2 linked regions of the Tribolium castaneum genome follow. The protein of the gene in region 1 interacts with the protein of each later gene in a pairwise test. Links are inferred from orthologs where the notes say so. Each region holds a gene or a part of one and is shown in the gene's direction. Other genes may lie near its edges.

Region 1 (3,924 bases):
GTATTTAAAACCGAGAAAACCTGTTTTTCGCGAAGTGAAACGTAGATGGAATGCGATTTTCCACAACCGTCTAAAATGTATTGGGACCAGTATAATTAAGCCAAAGAATGCGGTTTTATGCTCTCTTTATTCGTCACCTATGTGTGTTACAGCCATCACGTAAGTATACATTTTACTGACAACAAAACAGAAAAATTCTAATCAGAATGATTAAAAAAAATTTGCCGCTTCAGTTAAACAAACATAACATTGAAATATCAAAACAACACACTGAAAAAACTATTAAATAAGCATCCAATCAATGGCTGATATGATTTTCATAAAAAATGAGGTAACATCGTTTGTATTTTTTTTTTCAATATATTATTATTACATAGGTACCTCCTACCTGTTTCTTTTCAAATCACAGAGAAAATAACAATATTTGATCATGAATTTAAAAAATTGTAACAAAGATTTACAGAGCAATTTTACTGAACTTGGGATTCTATTGTGTGGGGTGGTTTTTAAGGCAATAATACAACCGAAAGGTGTAAAAAAATTAATTTTATTGTGACTAAATTAGTTGCAAAACACTTGTTAAAGTCAAACTCACAAAAAATTAATCATTTAATTATTACATCACAGGTCGCTGTTATCTTATATTTTTAAGCTTATTCAAAAACAATCAGCAATTAATATTTAACAAATTTTGTAATTGCATTAATTGTAGGGTAGGTAACTAGTAATACTTCGGTTTCTTCTGCTTCTTCCCCTTTCTTCAATTTCCTCTGATGTTTGAATTTTCCAAATGATAGCTCTTAAGAGAGCCCAAAGGTATTTCGAAAAAAGGTTGGGGCTAGTTTTTGGTCAGAAAAAAATATGCAAAATTTTTTTTTCTGTGTTATGTTAGGTTAGTTTTGTGACAGTTTCCAGCGCTTCTCCAATCTACAGGTAGGTTCTTGTACGCATGTGCAAAGTCATTTAGCTTACCTGACAGGTAAGATACGAGTAGCCCACCTGTAAATATAAAACATTTTAATTTCGTTGTGATTAGTGTGAAATGTGCTAATCAATTATTTTTAGTAATGAGTGATAGTGTTGCGACTTGTTGATTCGTATTTACGGTGAGTATGTGGCGGGTAAAGGGCTGATTTAAAAGTCCGTGAGGTAAAAATTTAATAATACTGTTATTGTTACTGTATTCATGCTATTGTGATATGGTCGCCACGATGGCTTTTGCGCCAAACTATTCACACACATATGTGTATTTCACAAGCTTCGTTAATAAATCGAATTTGCCTCATTTAACCCATTATTACTCTCTGCGTCATCACAAGTTGATGAAATCAAGTTTCGGGTTATTACAACTGTTGCGAATTAAAATATTCCCGCGCACTCCACGCCCTTCGTGTCCAAATTTAGTTCGCAACAGCTAGCCCATTAATATTCACAATAAATACATGCAGTTTTGTCCGTAAAAGTACGTCCTGAGGAATTGTTGACATTCCTTGCATTCCAGTATGGCTGAAGGTGTGGCATAAGAGAGGAAATTAATCTCAGTCGAGAATTATTATTAGGGCCCGAATTCCTTCAAAATGACAAATATTTATAAAAACCGCACGATACAATGAGATTAAATCCCGCAGTAGATAAATGTTATCATCAATCAAGCCGTGACAATAATCTCCGCGTTTCCAGATATTGAGTGGCTTAAGTTAAGTTAATATGGCGTACCGCTCGAACGGGTATTCGGGGGATGAAATGGACAGGTACCGGGATGAAGGGGGCGACAAGCCCACCTATCTCATGGAGCACCTGGCCACCTTCACAGTCACCAAAGAAACGGGGATCATGTACCCCGCCGACGGCATGCGGAGGCTGCTCCAGTTGGAAAAAACCAACGGCATTTGGTCGCAAAAAATGCAACTGTGCCTCGACCGCTCCTGGGTCTTAATCATGGATTACGAAACTGGGGTAAATAATCATCTCACGTAAACTCCAACTCTACACAAAAACGTTTAGAGTGTCATGGAGCGCTTCCCGGCCAACTCCATCCAAGAACCGACTGCTTTCACCAGCCATGATCCCATGGAAATGTACAACAATATTCTAGTTTTTAACGTTGCCAATTCTAACCCGGCTCATCCACCAGAAATGCACATTTTTCAGGTGAGCATATCTATCTGGCTCATCTTATCGGGCCCCCCGGCCAACACACTCATTTATTTTCGTCATTTATCTTATCAATCTATGGATTTTTAACAATTATTACTGTTTCCAAAAAACACAAGATAATCAATCAGATGTTACGGCAGCGAAATTAATTTGCGTGGTCGCGATAATCTCTAAATCAGATGAGATTATGGGGCGAATAAAATGAACGAACAAGGAGCATTTGATCGGACATACGGGATAATTGTAATGATTGTAAATACATAACGAGTTTTTTGTATAAGACTTACTTGCGAAATTATTAAATATAGAAAATTCAGTCAGTCAGCAGTACCAATAAAACGCTGGTAGTACAAAACTCTCTACTTTTTTTTAAATTAATGTTTTTTATGAAGGAAATGAAGGCAAGTTTATTGTCTTCGTGTCCCAAACTCGCATAATAATACACAATTTTGATAAGGTATTTCGTCGCACTCCAGCTCGTGGTGCTCTAAAAAATGATGTATTTATTTGTTTTTACGTGGATGTCTAGTGCCAGAGCATATCCGCGCTCGACCTGGTGGAAGACTTGAAGCAGTTGCGAATGGGCAAAACCCTGACTCGAAGCCGCAAAAGCAGCATCCCGCCGCCGTCCCACAAGCCGCCCCCGCACAACGTTATCAACCCGAGCCGCGACCCGCGAGGCGATTACCACGGTTCCGATTCGGAACTGACCGCAAATAACGACGACTCGAGTTCGACAACTAGCGAAAAATACGAACGAGACGTGACCATTTTGAACCATTGCTTCGACGATATCGAAAAGTTTATCGCCCGCTTGCAGCATGCCGCCGCCGCCGCCCGGGAGTTGGAGCGTCGGCGGAGGAGCCGCAAAAGCAAGAAACGCGACATGGGGGACGGCATGTTGACCATGCGGACGAAACCGCCCCCGGAGAAGGAGTTCATCGACATTTTCCAAAAGTTCAAGTTGTCGTTCAATCTCTTGGCCAAGCTCAAGGCGCACATTCACGATCCCAATGCTCCAGAGCTGGTGCATTTCTTGTTCACGCCTTTGGCGTTGATTGTCGAAGCCTCGCATGATACCTATCCCGATTCACAACTTCCCAGAAAAGTTGTCTCCCCGCTGCTGACCAGGGAGGCGGTCAATTTATTGATGAACTGTGTCACCAGCAAGGAGACCGAGCTGTGGCACTCGCTAGGAAACGCCTGGCTTATACCCAGGTAAGGCTATTTTTGACGAAATTGACAAACAATTGGTCAAAATTTCGCGATAAAAATAACTCGCCTATCTATTGTTGAAAGAAGCCGAAATTATTTACAAAGATATTGCCAGAATATCTATTTGAAAAAAAATTTGGACGAAAACTTATTTTAGATATGAATATTTCAATTTTTCAGTAAGAAAGAAACTAGAATGTTTAGCCGAAACCGGCAGAGAATCTTTGGTTGAGATGTCAATTCTTTTGGAACCAACATTTTTCAAGTTATCTTGTTGAAACCTAGCAAAATAACTTATTCTATTCAGCCAGTTACGGCCTAATTTGTACGTTAAAAACAGTTTAAAAAACCGTAAAATTCAAGGCTGGCAACAAGATTTGAATTTCCCGAGCTGCTGTTGCCAGTCAGCTAAATTCGCTAAGAAAATCTCACGCCCCTGAGTAAATTGGGAAAGAGAATCCGTCCGGTGTTAGATTTCCCTTTGTCTTGCAGAGATCAATGGAAGGGTCACGTGGCGCCTTACCACCCGATTTTTATGGACGGTTGGTCCCC
Region 2 (3,924 bases), on another chromosome or scaffold:
GCCAGGATCGGGTTATTCGGGTGCTTCCCCCCTTTCATTCGCGGCAAACTGAACTTCTTGCCGCGCGCCGTTAGAGGGCGCTTTGCGTTGATGTGTATTTGGAGTTTGCCGTCTTCGTTAAGTGAGACCGCCACTTTTTTGAGCGTGTTGAGGCCACATTTGGGGCAAAATTTCTTCGTCATGATGCTCGTAGTCTTGAAGCAGGCGTAACAACGCAGGATGTAGGTCCGGAGTTGTTTGATCATGCGGCCGTCAAGGGCGGCCACATTGAGGTTCATCTGTTTGAGGACGTTTTGCATCGCGAAGTCGGTGGTCATGCAGGCGATCTTCACGTGTTTTTCCTCAATGAGCTGGGAGTTGACTTGTTTTTTGGCCTGGGAGACGTTGGAAGGGGTGATCCAGCCACTGTCGTCATCGTCATCTTCGTCGGAATTTGATCCAGAGATGTCGCTAGCGTCGTCAACTGGCACCAGAACGTCATGATCCTCGCTTGTTTCCTCGTCAGCGCATTCAATTGTTTCGAATTTTTGTTGCAATTTCTCAATTTCATCTGTTTCTTCATTTGTTTCTCCTGGTCTATCTTTTATTTTTGTGTGTCCTGGCAGGAAAAACCCTGTTACGTCAGGATGTAAATCGACAGTTGGCCCTGTGGTGGTCACAGTCCTCTGGAAGACGGGTTCAGTACGCAGGTGCTCCACCCCAACCGCTTCCTTCTCCAACTGATACGTAAGAGCCATAACTTGGATATCGGTGGCAGACAGACTTGGGTAATCCCCGGTTTTCTTTGCAAATTCTGTCACAATTTTGATATTTTCCGGAAAAACCTCCTTGACCTGAAGGTCATAAGGCAAAACCACCAAACGTTTGAGCTGTCTTTTGTTCAAAATTTCGTCAACGACACTTTGACATGTGACCATTTTCTCCGCAACGTCCTACAAGCGTAAGGTTATAAAGTGGTAATTACAGACGAGATCACGTACTTGTAATGGGGCGTTTTGGATAAAAGCAGTCGTATCGACAACCAAACACTCAATTTTCTTGTCTCCGGCCCCCATTTTGTTGACACACGTGGAAAAATGACACTTGGATGAGGATGACACTTGTTGCCAACAATACGACCAAAGACCCCAGTTTATTGCCAAAACGGGCTTATTTGTGTAAATAATGCCGTGGTAGGTTTGAGCAAGCCTCAAATTAGTTTACCGGGTCATAATAACACAAACAATTTGCGTAATCTCGCCCAAAATCGTGATCAATGAGTTATTTTACTTTGCTCCGGTTGGCGACATTGTGCGTATTGGAGAATGGAGTGTGTGCTTTACATGGAGGCCAATTTTCGGTCAGTTCGTAAATAACGAGTGTTTGTGTGTGAAAAAACGGTGTGGGGCCCCCGTGACTCTCGATTTGAGGTGTAAAGTGTCCGTCAATCGTGTGTGAAATAATTTGGCTGTTTTCTCTGACGTGTCGGTGATCACACTGTTATCACTTTTACGTCATTACTTGGCTACTCTGTCGGTGAAATTTCATGTTTTTATCAAAATTCAAGCGTTCTATTGTTAAGATTATCACCATTATCATAACGGAGTGAGGCCACCACAAGTAAGTTTTCGTTTCGGTTGTAATGTGTCAAGTTGATGTTTTTGGCCGAAATGCGGTCTCAGCTGATGCTTGGTTTTAGTTATCACCGTCTCGATGAGCAGTTCTAAATGATGGACCCTTCAGCCGATCAGGGGTCCGGCTTCCATCAGCTCGGCATCACAGGTATGTCCCCGAAATCTCCGATAAGGAGCGCAAATATTTGGGCAAAGTCTTAGAGACAACAGTTTCACCTGATTACACAACGTGTGTGGCAAGGTTTTGTTGTTATTTGTTTCTAATAGCGTTCGGCGGTATTGCTAATTGCACAATAGGTAGCTCCTAATTAATTTACTGGACCGATTTGTATTTGTTTATGTTTAGAAAGTGAAAAATGTTGCGATAGTCCGCTACGCCTCGATTATTCTAATTAGAATTAAGAATTGCAGGGGAACAAGTCGGCTATTACGAGAAAGTCGCATTAATTACAGTCTTCATAAATTATGGAACTTGGGATGGCACGTCCCAGAAACACGCGTCATAAAAAGTGTAATTTCCAACATTTAGGATCAATTTTATCGATCCGGCGACAGTTGTGACTAATCCTTTCGATGACAGGACAAAAGTGTCGACACATTTTTCAGGTGCAATTTCACGTGATAATATCACCTATTTGCTTCAAGGACACACAGAGTGGCCAAGTAACCAAATCACCACATTTGAGACTTGTCTCGCATTTTTAAGGCACCGTTTCCTGTTGTTGTTATTATTATGTGACCTACTAAGCATAATATTTTGGTTTTTATCGCGTGATTACCAGTCGTGACATCATTTTGCGACAAAAACTCGGGGGAAATATGAGCAAATTTAATAATCGTACTCATTGGTATTTTTTTATCTTTTATCGCGAGTTGTTTTGTTTGCTTTATTTTATTGTAGGTTTTCCCGAATAACGTGCTTCATTATCTTTAACACCATTATCTTTAAATGTTTGATTATTTTTCATCGAGCTTTGGATAAAAATAAAACAAAACTTTGAACTATTGTCTCCAACATTTTTGAGATTTTTATGTTGCTTGAAACATTCCGTGAAAAATGCAATCCATGTTGCATTTTTATTGGCAAGGTCGAAGTTTACAAACAACCGATAAGCTTTTTGTTATTAAATCGCTACAAAAATGCTATTTTATTTTTCAGTCGAGTGCGCCCACCTCCGTAACAGTTCCTTCATCAAGCCCTCCACGTACGTGGAAATCAGCGTGGACGGTGGCTCCCCCCGGAAGACCGAATGCGTGAAAAACACCGCTCAACCGAAATGGAACGAAACCTTCACCCTCCTCGTCACCCCCCACTCAAAAATAAACTTCGTCGTCTACGACAAGAACAATTTCCGCAAAGACACCCTCGTGGGCGAGAAAAAAGTCGAACTTTTCCAAATGTTGCAGCATTTCAGCGGCCGCTGCGAAAACCTTGAACTCACACTGGATCTCATGAACGAAAACAAGACCGAATCGCCGGCCAAAGTCGGCGAATTAATTTGCGTATTTCAAGGCTTGACCGTCGACATGTCCAAGTTTCACAAGCCGGGGCCGAGTGCGACCCCCCTCATGCAAAACAACTGCGAAGCGCAGAGCGTCTCCAATCGCAGCGTCTTCAACGGAATTCGGGCGAAAGTGCGCAATGTCGGAACGGAGAACGTCGTTCCGACGGCGTCGCGAGCCTCCACGGCCGAGAGGCGCACCTCGCGCACGGCGCTGTCGCCCACCACGCCCATGCCCAACGGCACCATCGGCCCCCCGGCCACGGTGCCCAACGGCAACGCCGTGCACAACAGCGACGGCGAGGACGGGAGGGCCGAGGAGCCGCTGCCCCCCGGCTGGGAGATGCGGTATGACACCTACGGCCGCCGCTACTACGTGGACCACAACACGCGCTCGACGTCGTGGGAGCGCCCCCAACCGTTGCCCCCCGGCTGGGAGATGCGGCGCGACCCCCGCGGGAGGGTCTACTACGTCGACCACAATTCGCGCACCACCACCTGGCAGAGGCCGAATTCGGAGCGGTTGGAGCACTTCCAGCAGTGGCAAGGCCAGAGACAGCACATTGTCCAACAAGGCAACCAAAGGTTTCTCTACCCGCAGTTTCAGCCTGGACCCATGCCTGGCACTTCAGTTGTGGATGATGAGGACGATGGTTTGGGGGCCTTGCCGCCCGGATGGGAGAAGCGAGTGCAACCGGAAGGACGAGTGTATTTCGTTAATCACAAAAATCGGACCACGCAATGGGAGGATCCGAGGACTCAAGGACGGGAGGTTATTGACGATATGCCGTTGCCTCCCGGATGGGAGA

Evidence for each region.
Region 2: the proteins of epidermal growth factor receptor kinase substrate 8-like protein 2 (region 1) and Su(dx) interact in a two-hybrid assay, tested with the Caenorhabditis elegans proteins (2 studies listed by BioGRID). The link is inferred for Tribolium castaneum from reciprocal best matches to the Caenorhabditis elegans genes eps-8 and wwp-1.

Annotation. Positions count from the first base shown.
Region 1 is NC_087403.1:4,530,411-4,534,334, forward strand, and holds the start of epidermal growth factor receptor kinase substrate 8-like protein 2, read left to right. Parts: upstream 1-943; 5' UTR 944-1,106; intron 1,107-1,137; exon of another isoform or gene 1,138-1,627; intron 1,628-1,680; 5' UTR 1,681-1,707; coding exon 1,708-1,956; intron 1,957-2,004; coding exon 2,005-2,151; intron 2,152-2,444; exon of another isoform or gene 2,445-2,686; coding exon 2,687-3,375; intron 3,376-3,864; coding exon 3,865-3,924.
Region 2 is NC_087398.1:5,360,851-5,364,774, reverse strand, and holds the start of Su(dx) (E3 ubiquitin-protein ligase Su(dx)), read left to right. Parts: upstream 1-1,292; 5' UTR 1,293-1,599; intron 1,600-1,678; 5' UTR 1,679-1,706; coding exon 1,707-1,761; intron 1,762-2,772; coding exon 2,773-3,924. Other genes in the region: RNA-binding protein NOB1, read right to left, coding at 1-932, 981-1,055. UniProt on the Caenorhabditis elegans protein: E3 ubiquitin-protein ligase which accepts ubiquitin from an E2 ubiquitin-conjugating enzyme in the form of a thioester and then directly transfers the ubiquitin to targeted substrates. Ubiquitinates klf-1.